Diceros bicornis minor: one gene and its partner. The protein of the gene in region 2 interacts with the protein of the main gene of each other region in a pairwise test. Links are inferred from orthologs where the notes say so. Each region holds a gene or a part of one and is shown on either strand. Other genes may lie near its edges. The genes, in order: ZMYND11 and ZHX1.

The links.
Region 1: the proteins of ZHX1 (region 2) and ZMYND11 interact in a two-hybrid assay, tested with the Homo sapiens proteins (2 studies listed by BioGRID and IntAct). The link is inferred for Diceros bicornis minor from reciprocal best matches to the Homo sapiens genes ZHX1 and ZMYND11.

Annotation. Positions count from the first base shown.
Region 1 is NC_080775.1:72,985-79,051, reverse strand, and holds the start of ZMYND11 (zinc finger MYND domain-containing protein 11), read right to left. Parts: upstream 4,350-6,067; 5' UTR 4,196-4,349; intron 4,029-4,195; exon of another isoform or gene 3,905-4,028; intron 3,412-3,904; exon of another isoform or gene 3,393-3,411; intron 1-3,392. UniProt on the Homo sapiens protein: Chromatin reader that specifically recognizes and binds histone H3.3 trimethylated at 'Lys-36' (H3.3K36me3) and regulates RNA polymerase II elongation. Does not bind other histone H3 subtypes (H3.1 or H3.2).
Region 2 is NC_080760.1:38,902,339-38,908,405, forward strand, and holds the start of ZHX1 (zinc fingers and homeoboxes protein 1), read right to left. Parts: upstream 3,551-6,067; 5' UTR 3,419-3,550; exon of another isoform or gene 3,332-3,418; intron 1-3,331. UniProt on the Homo sapiens protein: Acts as a transcriptional repressor. Increases DNMT3B-mediated repressive transcriptional activity when DNMT3B is tethered to DNA. May link molecule between DNMT3B and other co-repressor proteins.

The DNA of each region.
Region 1 (6,067 bases), on a different chromosome or scaffold from region 2:
CAAATATAAAACATACAACCTGAAGCAGTTACAGACAGGGTGACATGTGGGAAAAGATAAAAATATTAATTTAAAACTAATGGTTAAAATAAGAACTCTCACATTGTGTACTTCAACTACCTATATTCTTCATCAAAGATAAAGAAGTAAAGATAGGTGGTTGCCAGGGGCTGGAGGGAGGGAGGAATGGGGAGTTAGTGTTTAATTGGTATGGAGGTTCAGTTTTACAAGATGAAAAGCACTATGGAGATGGATGGTTGTGATGACTACATGACAGAGTGGATGTATTTAATATCACTGTACTGTACACTTAAAAATGGTTAAGATAGTAAATTTTGTTATATATATTTTACCACAATGAATAAAGTAAAAAAACAAAAAAAGTAATGATAGAAAGGTCCTTTAAATTGCTTCAAGTAAATGAGCCCTGAGGAATATAACAAATGCTTATTTTCCAACCTTCTGAGATAACTAAAGTGAAAATCCAGAGATTCAGAGGTAGCTACGACAGTCAAACACAACTTAGTAAGACAAGGCATATGTGAGCATGCCAAACCGTAATTTCAGAGCTTCACCCCTTTCCATACTAGTTTAATTATTAACCTGAATTGAATTTGACTCAACTGAATTGAATTAGTCTAATAGTGGTTTATGAGTCAATAATTCTGTGAGATAGGTACAATTACTATCATCCTTATTTTTCATATGGGGAAACTGAGACCAGGCATGACAAGTTTAAGTAATTTGCCTGAGGTCATTCTGCTAGTAAATGACAGAGGTGGGATTCAGACCCAAGCCATCTGGCCGCAAAGTCATTTTGCCATGGACCTCTCTAAGAACAAAAAATCTAATTACCCTTTGGGCAAAAAATGCAATGTCAAGTCCAAGTTAAAGTTTTCAAACAGTGAAAAGCTTTTAACTATCATAAGACTAAGTCTGACTGTCCATTTTCTCCTTAATTTTTTTTTCAAGATACATCCTCTTTGTTTAAATGATATATTCCATGTAGAATTCAACCGAAGGATGGTAAAGGCAAGTAAAGAAAATGACACCAGAGGTTTAGGGCTTTAAACAATATTAGGACAGCATTTGATACATGTATTAAAATGTTAAAATTCTTAATTAGCTTCAATTAAGGTATGCCAAAGGGTATGAATGTCTCAATCATAGACTATCTGAACACCCTTTAAATGAAAAGGGGTTACAAAAGGGTATGAGTTCAAACAAACACATGTCAATTCTCAGAAACACGCAAGATGACATCCACTCAAAGTGCCAACATAATGATATCCTAGGAATATTCAGTATGAACTAAGGAGCCAAATTTTAACATTTTAATTGACCTTTCTTCGTAAAGCTGCCAGCACTTACATGTATGTTTACTTAAACACCTTGCCATAGGTAACTGTAAAATAAACTGCCCAATTGACAGAATGTAAAAGGGAGATTCAGTTTTCATATGAACATCTATGAAAAAATTACCACGTAAAAAAGATAGAAATCCTCTGTTAACCACAGATAGAGTTAAGCAGGAAAAATATTTTATTGATTCTGTCCTAATCACATCCCATATCTTCTGATCTTTGATTCTCTAGCCTGGCCATTTTATAAAGAAGAGTCCACCAAAATAATGACCGTAACCAGCACCAGTTAGCCGATAACACAACTGTACAAAATTCATATTTTATCTCTTGCTTGTACAATAAGAATTCAGAAAAACCACGAAGGTGACCTTGCTTACCAGAAAGCACTCAAACTTTTAAAGTACAATCAAGACTATCGCACCAACAACTTTCAACCATTCATTAGAATCAATGACCCGAAAACCTGAAAAGGTTATGCATCCCATAATTACTAAGCTACAACTATTACATGTCTCAGTTTAAAAGAAAACAAGTAAACGTTTCAATTTCTGCCTTTCAACAAACATTAAATTATTTTTAAGCAGGCTCTTGCCTCCATAGGACACGGTTTACTGTAGGATGCAGAACACCCAGGTGAGGCAGACCGGAGGACCGCAGACCTAAACCTCAGCAAGCCCAGTGGGTCCCTAAAAATCTGACCCCAGCGGGCTCCTCCAACCTTCCGGCACCCTTCCCTAAAGAGGCTACCTGGCCACCTGCTTTGAGCTCACAGGTACTAAGTATATACCGTATATGTGCACACGGGGCACCATGCACACACTTTAAGTAACACGGGGTATCACTTGCCCACACCGGCTACCATGCAGACACCGTACGTAACACCGGGTGCCACGTGCACACCAGGCACTACGCGAACACTATATATAACACTGGGCTCACCACATATAACACCGGGTATCAACAGCACACCGTATATAAACACTGGGCACCAGGCGCACACCGGGCACCATGTACACACCGTATTTAACACCAGCACCACGGACAACCGACACCGTGCGCACACCAGGCACCGCGGACAACCAGGTACCATGCACACACGGTAGGTAACACCAGGTGCCACGTGCACACCGGACACCACGCAAACACCATATATCACACCAGGCACACCATATGTAACACCAAGCATCATGAGCACGCCGTATATAACACCGGGCCCCATGGACACACCGTAGATACACCGAGCACCAGGCGCACACTGGGCACCACGGACACACAGCACCAGGCCCACACCGTAAGCGCCTCCACAGCTGACCCAGAGAGACGTGAAGGACAGTCTACGTGGAAGCTGGGGTCCCCGGGCCCCCCCAGGAGCCCCGCATCCCAAGCCGGCCTGCTGGGCCCCGCAGAGCAGCTCCTCTGCGGACGGGACGCCGGGTGGGAGGAGGGCGGACCCCGCAGGCGGTCCCAGGGGCCCGGGAGGACCTGTTGAGGAGGTGGAGGCCTCGCTGCCGCCGGTTCCAGCCGCGGGGGACGCGGACCGAGCCGCGCCTGGTCCTGGGGGACCGCCCTGCCCAGCTGCGGCCACCGCTCCCAAACAACGAGCCGCGAAAGCTCCCTCCCGCCCTCCCCACACTCACGGGGCCGCGTTCCGCCGGACCCCGACCCGCGGCCGCGGACCCCGAGGCCTGGCCGTGCGGGGACGGCCGTGCCGGCGGGCGGCGCTCACGCGACTCCCTGGCTTCCCGGCCCGAGCAGGCCCCGCGCGGTCCTCCTCCTCCGGGGCCTCCCCCTCCCGGGCCCGCAGAAGGCGAGGGGGCGCGGGCGGACCTCCGCAGGCCCCGCCGCCCCGCAGGCCCCGGCCGCCCCTCACAAAGCTCCGCGGGCAACTCGGGCCGTTCGCGGGAGGGCGAGCGGCGGTCACACCCGTGCCGCCGGCCCGAGAGGCTGCAGCCGGGCCCGGGTTCCACAAAGCGGCGGCGTCCCCGCCACAGACGCCCCCGCCCGCGCCCCCGCCGAGCTTCTGCCCACCATTATGCTCCGGTCCTCGCCGCCGCCGCCGCCGCGCCCGGCCCTCCCCCTCCGCGCCGCCTCCTCCTCGCCGCCGCCGCCGCCTCCTCCCGGGCCTGGGCCGGCGGGGCGCGGGGGGGCTCCCCGTCTCCCGGCCTCCCCGCCTCCGGATCTGCGGGCTCGCTCTCCCCGCCTTCCTCCCCGGCTCCGCGGGCCCGGCCTCCTCATCTCCCCGCCGCCCTCCCCGTCTCTCCGTCGTCGCCCCGCCGGCTCCCCGCCGCCCTCCGCCCGGCTCCGCGGCCCCGGCCTCCTCATCTCCCCGCCTTCCTCCCCGGCTCCGCGGGCCCGGCCTCCTCATCTCCCCGCCGCCCTCCCCGGCTCTCCGTCGTCGCCCCGCCGGCTCCCCGCCGCCCTCCGCCCGGCCCGGCGGGGCCGGGGCGCCATGTTTACAACCCTCCACCACATCACACGCGAGCGCCCGGACTAGGGAAGGCGCGGCGGCCGCAGGAGGCCCCGCCGCCGCCCGCACTTACGGTGTCTCCGCGCCGAGCGGCGGGCCCGGGCGGGGGCGGGAAGTTGGGGCGCCGCCGCCGCCGGGAAAGTTTGCGTCCTGCGAGGCCGCGGCCCGCTCACATGGCGGTGTCTGCGCGGGGCGGCCGCTCGCCCGGCCCGGCCTCCTCCACCTCCGCCCGCCCCCGGAGTGTACTGTGCGGCCCGGCCGGCCGCGCCGAAGGCTCGGGGCTCGGGCGCGGGCGCGGGCCCGCCGGGCCGCGGGCTGCGGGCTCCCTCCCGGCCGGGCCGGCGCCGTGCACGCCCACACCCACCTTCCCTCGGTCCTGTCCTCCGTGCCTCCCCAGATTTGTTTCAGCATATTCCTACATATCCACACAGGCATTCATGGCAGTACACACGTGAAAGCGACGTACTGCCGGCACGCGGGAGCCAAGAGCCGAGCGCACAAAGGTCCCGGCGCTCGCAGCATTGTTAGGCTCGGACCGCGGGGCTGAGGGCAGTGCCCGGCCGACGGCTGTCTTCACGTGGGACGTACCTGTTCTGTAATGTGCACCGTCCGGGAATGCGAAGTCTTTGAGAAGCATTAGTTTTTGAATTAACAAAATTGGTAAAGTGGTTTAATATCTTTTTAATTCTGTCATCAAAAGGAATTGCAGGGGTATGCTAAATTCCTCATCCATACGTACACAAATAGGACTTCGAAAAGGACGGGACCACCCATTATAAATTTAGCGAAAACACTACAAATTTGTGTAAGGAAAAGTAGATTATCTTTTTTAGTTTGATGCTAGATCTAACTAGAGAAGTCTCAGAGATAAGCATACTTTTATGGATTTCACATATTTTCCCTAATGACCTTTCTCTACTAGGAGTTTGGAAGGAAGGGCCTATCAGCCAAAATTTCTTACTCTGATTCTCATTGGACATATGTACCTGAAAATCATTGGAAAGAATCTGTCCAAGAAATTTTGGGATTCTAATCCAATTCATCAATCTTCTCTAAGACTAAGTTAGAATTTAGAAATGGGTGGTACTTGAATATGTGTTCTATGATGTACATGAGTCAAAGAAACATAATCTTTCAGCCATTTATAGCCCTGAGAGTTTTTGCTTATCTCAAGGGACATCATGAAATAATTTTAACTCATTTTAATTTTGGAGATGAACATATGCCATTAAAATCCAGCAGAGGGGTTAAAGGATGTCAGAAAAAATCAAGTCATATCTGGTTTGAATGCTGGACCAGGAATTCTAACAATAGCTTTAAGTAAATCACCTTTTTTTTTCTTTTTCAGTCATCTATAAAATAGAGGACTACATGGTTCTATATAGTTCATGAAGACCACTCAAGTCAGACAACATCATGTATGTATAAAACGAAGCTTACTTTTTAGGAAAGAAGTGACTGCATAACTCTACATTTTTCTCCAATTAAATTTCTTAGGCATCAATTTTTGTACTGTCTCCAGATACTGTCTCTAATTCTATCTAAGGTAAGTTAGATAGCTTATCTATTGGTGTTGCCTAGAATTTAACCCTTGGCTCTATTTTCCCTTCAGAACAGTTTTATTTACCTCATTTTTCCCTCATCTGAGTGAATATGGGGGACAGGAGGTGGTCTGGAGGTCAAAGGTTTGGGGTTGGGAGTTGGGGGGAGGCGGAGAAGACCAAAATAGTTACTTCTGTACAACTTAAGTTACACCATGAAGTTATCTGTCAGATTGCCAAGAAGAGGCAAGGGGCCAACGTGTGAGGGATAAGAGAAGAAAAGGAAGAGTGGTGGGCAGTGAGGAATGGTTTGCATCAACTTACACGTTTCAGAGACTTTGCACCACCCAAGGAAGGACCCCACACAACATTCCTGTTCTTGTGTAACCCCAACCAGCACTCTCCACACTTAGCTAATACCTGACTTGATCAGCATATCACTTTTTCCAGATTCTGATTTAAGAAATGTTATGTAAATAGAGAAGCATGGATTATTCAACAAATTGATCTGGAAAATTTGTCTATTTAAAAAATAAATCAAATTATATTCTTACTGTACACTTCACACTTAAAAATAATTCAAATGACTTAAATACTATAATTGTAAAAACCGAAAATCATTTTTCAAAAGGTAGAATAAAATATAGGTGAATATTAGTAAGATTGAGAGTGGAGAAGAATATCCTAAGCTCTAT
Region 2 (6,067 bases):
CACAAAAATTTACATAAATATTTACTTAAAAAATTAACTGTATAAAATACAGATCTCCAAAATGTAAAATCAAATGTATATGCTGATTAGTAATCTAAATCAGCAGCTTCAGTCATGTAAATCTGGTTACTCACTACTACAAATATATCAGAGCAACAAGGACACAATAAAATATATCAGTAATATTATGGCAACATGGGCTGTTATTCAATGGCTAGTATCATAGTTTTTTCCCTTCAAAGAAATGTAATTTAAATTACTTTTGAAATTACACAGAATGATTTAAAAGGATTTTAAGTTAGAAAAAAATTAGATGTAAAAGTGAATGTGCTATACTGGCTATTACCATAAATGGTGCAATAGATATTCCCAAACACTTCCCTGAATTTATTGAATATGATATTAGATTAAAAACTAGTTTAGGCACTGAACTTTTAACACTGTTAATATTCAAATAAGTAGAGCCTTTTGAGCCCAAATCCACAATGCTGTAATGTACATAAAAAGGTTATTTCCTCAGCTACATCTGTAATCATTTTAGTAATTTTACTAGTACTTCCATTTAAGTATAAAGGCATAACTTAAAGCAAACTAAGTCCCAAATATCACATTTTTGTGCCCAATGAACATTACAAGAAAGAAAATGTATAATACATCATAACATCACCTTGCAGTTTTAATGTGAAATATAATACAAAAGGGAGAAAATCTTCAAAATGAACTACCTCACCTATGCTATTAAGTTTATTAACAAAATAATTGTAAAACTTTATTCACATTTATTGAAAAGAAGAACTTATAATACAAGTGTCATTCAAGGTGAAATAATTGCTACATCATTCATCAATTGTCCTCCAAATCCAGTGAAATAATAAGCTCGCTATAAGGGAAAGACATCTATCTACTAATGAGTGTTCCCCAGCACAGGCACAGTTATGTTTGCAGCCGTAGCATATTTTCAGACCATCTGGCATCAATGTCACTCTGGTTCACCCAATCTAATCTGTTCAGAACTGAATATAAAACTAGAGCTACACGCACTTTGGAAAAACCAAAGAACAGCACACATGTATAATAATGTTCCAAATGTGCAGCTCTCAACTAGTTTATACTTGAAATGTGTTTTTAAAAACATTTCCATTGAAGACGTTAAAGCTCTTTTAAAAAAACCAGAACGGTTCAAGAAATCTGTATGAATCATAGCTGTCATCAATTACCCAAGTCTTACTTTAATTCTTTTTTTCTCATTTTAATCCTGATCACTAAGGAAAGCATTTGAAAGGTTCTTCTACAAAAAGACATTGATAAATGAAATGCTATCACTTCTATACTGCAAGGACCCATGATTTTACATTTTATTTTGCATAAAATTAGTCTGCTTAGCCGTAAAAGGCTTAGAGAATAAGGAGAGAAAAACTAAGAGGAGAAAATATTCATGAAAGTCTTTTTTTCTTTTACATCCTGTGAGCGCATTATTGTCTTTGGCAGCATTCACATTTCTTTTGCTTAAAATCAAGAGTCAGAATGGCTATTAAGAAATAAAAAATCCATGGCTAGACTAGGGCCAATATTCCTGTTAGAACCAATTCCTGTTCATCCTCACTGTTGGCATAAAAACAAACGACTCTTTCAGGATAATTTTTCAGAAGCAAGGATAATTCATGTAGCACCATATAACACAAGCTAAAGCTTTCAGACAAAGACTGAGAAACAATGACCAATACCAACAAATCTGAAGGTGCACTTCTGTAGGTACGGACAAACATACACTTCAACCCAACAAACAGTCACTATTCTTGGGAGAAAGCTGGCTTCTTCCTCCCTGAGAACCACTCTATTTCCCAATTCTGTGATTTTCCCTTTTCTTCTATCCTCTTAACCTCCAAGAGAATTGCTTCTTCTTTTCAAATTACATGGAATCCCAACCTAATCACATTACAAATCCTCTATCAGTTAGCCTTTCCTTACAGCACCCAACGACACACACACACACACACACACCACCACCACCACCACCACCCCCACCACCCCCACCACCCCCCCCCCACCCCCACCACCCCCCACCCCCCCCACCCCCACCACCACCACCACCACCCCGCAAAGATTAGCCTCTTCTCACGTGTTTCTTTAGAGCTGGAGTGAAATGACAGAAAAGCGCTGTGGAATTCCCGCTCTGCCCAACCTCTGCCCCATATTCCTCCTCTATCCATCCCCTTTCCTGCTTCCTAATTCTCCTACCCCGAGTCTCTCAGTGAAGCCTGAGCACAGCTTGATCCTTCTCTAACCTAAGCTAAGGATATCAAATAGAAGCTTTTCCTTCTCCGGGGTTTTGCTCTTTCCTTACTGTTACCAAAGAGGGGAGACGTGCTGAAACAAAGAATTTCAAGCCCCTTTACCCAGAACTTCGGTGTAAATTACAGGCAAAGGGCATCCGCCAGGGCTCCTCTTTCCTGCCATGAGAGCCCTGTCCTCTCACATCTCCTTCCCAGCCCCCCATTCCCCGCAAGGATTAGGAGACTGTTCCCTTTAGGCCCTCAGGCTTGAAGGAGTCCCTGGTCAGCCTCCCTGCGTCCTGAAAGGGCCGGATAACATTTCCATTCTCTTTAACTTCTCCCTAAGTCCCAGGGCTTCCTCAAAACGTAATATGGTTCTTAAGGACTCAACTCGGAGTCTTGCCCCAAAGTGGGGGCATGGCCCGGTCCTGAAGTGTGTGCCCAGGCTTCCACGAAGTGGGGTACAGCCTCTCCCCGAAGGGTTTCCCGGGGCTCCAACCACAACGCCAGCGCGCCCAGCTCCAGCAAGAGAATCTCTCCTTACTTTCAGGGAGGCAGTCCCCAGGCGGCCACACGCCCCCGCAGGGCAGGGCTCGCTACCTCCCCTTGGACCCTCAGCACTGCTGGAGTCCTCCATCCCTAAGGCGTCCTCCCCCAGGAGACCAGTCTGCACTCCCCCAACAGTCCCAAGTCGCTCAGTCCTCTCAGAGACAGGAGAGCTGAAATCTCCTTTACACAGCCCACCCCCAGCTCCTTCCACGGCCGCAGAGACCCCGAAAGCGCGAAGGAGGCGCAGGGTCGTCCACCGGCGGCGATCCCTGGCCCAGGCAGGCCCGGTCCCTCCCGCTCGGACGGCCCGCGCCGGTCCGCCCCGCCACCCGCCGCGGCGAGCGCGCCCAGCCCCCGGAGTCTCTGCCCCGGCGCTGCCCTCGCCGTCCGGCCCGCGCCGCCCTCCTTCCCGGCCCGCCGCGCCGGCCGTGGGCTCTGCGCTGCCCGCTCCCACCCGCAGCCCCGGGGCGCCCCGGCCAGCTCGTCGCGGGGCCGACTCGCGCCGCTACCTGCAGGGGCCGCCGCGCCTCTCAGCGCCCCACCGCCGCCATCTTGCATTTCAAACCGGCTGCACTTTTCAGGGAGTCAACTCTGACCTGTGAACCCTACACCCGGAACCGCTCAGCGGGCCGGGACCCGGCCTCGGCCGCTCGGCGGGCCCCGGGGAGCTTGAAGGGTCGGGGGTGGGGGTGCGAGGCGAGGCGCGCGCCCCAGCGGCCGACCGGGGGTGGGGGGGGGAGGGAAGAGCCGGCCGAGGCGGGGCCCTCCCGCGCGCGCGCCCTCCGCGCGCCCCCACCCCTCTCCGCGCCGGGCTCTGCGCTCCGGGACCCTACTGCTCCCCTAGGGTTCGACCCGGGCCTCTACCCGTTGGATTGGCGCAAGGAGAGAGGGAGGCAGCCGCCCCGCCCCTCTGTCAACAGAAGCCCCGCCCCAGTATGCGGAAGCCCCGCCCTCTGTCAATAGAAGCCCCGCCTTCTCCAGGTCTCGGAGCGGCGCCGCCCCTTGCCGGCGATAGCTCCGCCCGCTAGCAATAGAAGCCTGGTCGTCACTCAGGTCAATCCAGAGGGCAGCCCCGCCTTCTCCCAGCTGTGGCCCCGCCCTCTGGGCGCTCCGCCGTCCCAATGTTGTAGCCGGATGGTGAGAAACGCCTCTCGTCATCCTAAGCCCCATCTCCTGGCGGCAGTACTACCTAAGCCCCGCCTCCTTTCCGCGGAGGCCCCGCCCACTGTCAATGGAAGCCCCGCCTTCCCGAGACCGGTCTCGATTCTAGCTCGAAGCCCCACCTTCTGTCAATCGCCGGCCCGCCTCTTCTTGCCTTCGGTCCCGATTCCACAAGCCGCAGCTCCACCGGCTGGCACTAGAAGTTCAACCTCGCTTCGAACCACCGTGCTAGACAGAGCCGCCCTCTGCTCCCTCTGCTCTCTGAAAATCCTCCTTTGCCTGGTCACGAGTCACTTTTCTGGAGGGCTTTCTTTTCCAGCCGTGGTCCTCAAATCCGGACAGCTTCACTGTGAACCAGCTTCGCAGAGACGGCCAGCTATGGACCCAGGCTTCGGGGAAGACAGGAAGGCGTCACCGCCACTCCCCACCTCCCCTTACCTCCACCCCCTACATCATTTTTTAAATGAAGAAAAGTACACACCCAAGCCGAGAGGAACGAGTCACCATCCGAACTGCTCTGCACAGCAGGGCAGTGCAGTCAGGGGCCTGGGCGTGCGTGCCCCACTCACTCACCCTCTGCGCTTTGACAGCCGTGCCCCACCGAGCCACATCAACCCTAAAATACGCAGTTGCTTGTGGCGAGAACCTGATTGTTGAAATCAAAGTACACCAGCTTCTTTTTATTTGTATGTTTCGTCTTAGGATCCCAGAACTTGTGGAAGCAGAATCAAGCAACGCTTAATGATCTTATAAACAGAGGTGCTCAATCCTGCCATACTCAACAGTCTGTACTTACAACAAAAATGTAGTACTACTTTACTCTCCTGGAATCAAATTCATAGATAACTATCTACAAAACAATTGCAAGAAACCAATGTAAATGTGTCAATAATATAAACGTGAAAAAAGGGAAAGTAGTTTATTCTAAAAGACTATACTAATATCAGTAAAAATAATGTTTTTCACTGTATAAATACTCTAGTACCAATATGAGAACAATACAAGACAAAAACTGCCCCCACAAAATTTCAATATGCCCCCTAGGGGGCAGTACTGTGCCCACTGAGAACCTCGGTTTAGGACTTGAAAGGAAATGCTTCAGATACAGAAATTCATTCTTTCGTTCATGCATTTAGCAACTAGGTTTTTGAGCACCAGCGTATATCAGGCACTGTAGGAGATGCAAAGCTGAGTCAGGCAATATTTCTGTCTTCAAGGAGATTATAGTCTAGTAACCGAGCAAAAAACATGAGCATAAAAACGTCAAGCAAGACAAGAGGTGAGAAGAGATCAAGGAGATATACATAGAGACCCTTTTAAAGGCATGGATTAATGAATATAAATCTCACCTTCCCTCTGCCTCTCTTCCTCTGTCTCCCTCTCCCTTCCTCTCTCCCTCCCTCCCTTCCTTTTTCCCTTCCTTCCTCTTCTCCCACCCCTCCTCCCCCTCCTCCTCCTCTTCTTCTTTAGCACCAGTTTATAGAGTCACCTCCTTCTCTCTTGAAGCTGTCTGCCTGGTTCACTGCCCAATGCCAGTAGCCCAGAGTCTTCCCAATTTAGGGCCATGCCCGCAGGGCAGTTCTGTCCAGGAAAACAATTTCAATAGCACAGTGCTGAGAACCAGTGTCCTTGGCTGAATTGCTGCCAATTATTTGGTATCCTTGTACAAAGCAAGACTGTTATCACACTCAAAAAAGCTGGTTGCAGACCTAAGCAATATGAATATATGTTTAGCATAGCAGATTGCGCCAGCCCACATAAATCTGTTTAGAGATCATGCTCACAGAGTAACTTGTTTTTATTAAAATAAACTCATTTGTAAAAATTGTAAATATGACTGATTTCAACAGCTGTGTGGCTCCAGAAGTAAGTTTTTACCCATGGATTGGCTCAATTAGAAGAATCTAGATTTTTTTATGCATATGTTTTGCCGCTTGTCATACACAGTCTGGTATGGCAAAATTTCAGTACTGTTAGAGATGAGAAGTTGTCCAGCAGGTTTTAAAAAGCACAGCACTCTTGCTATTTAGAGCTTCTTCCACCTTTGGAACAGTGAAAAAAAATATATTTGTAGGGAATGAAGA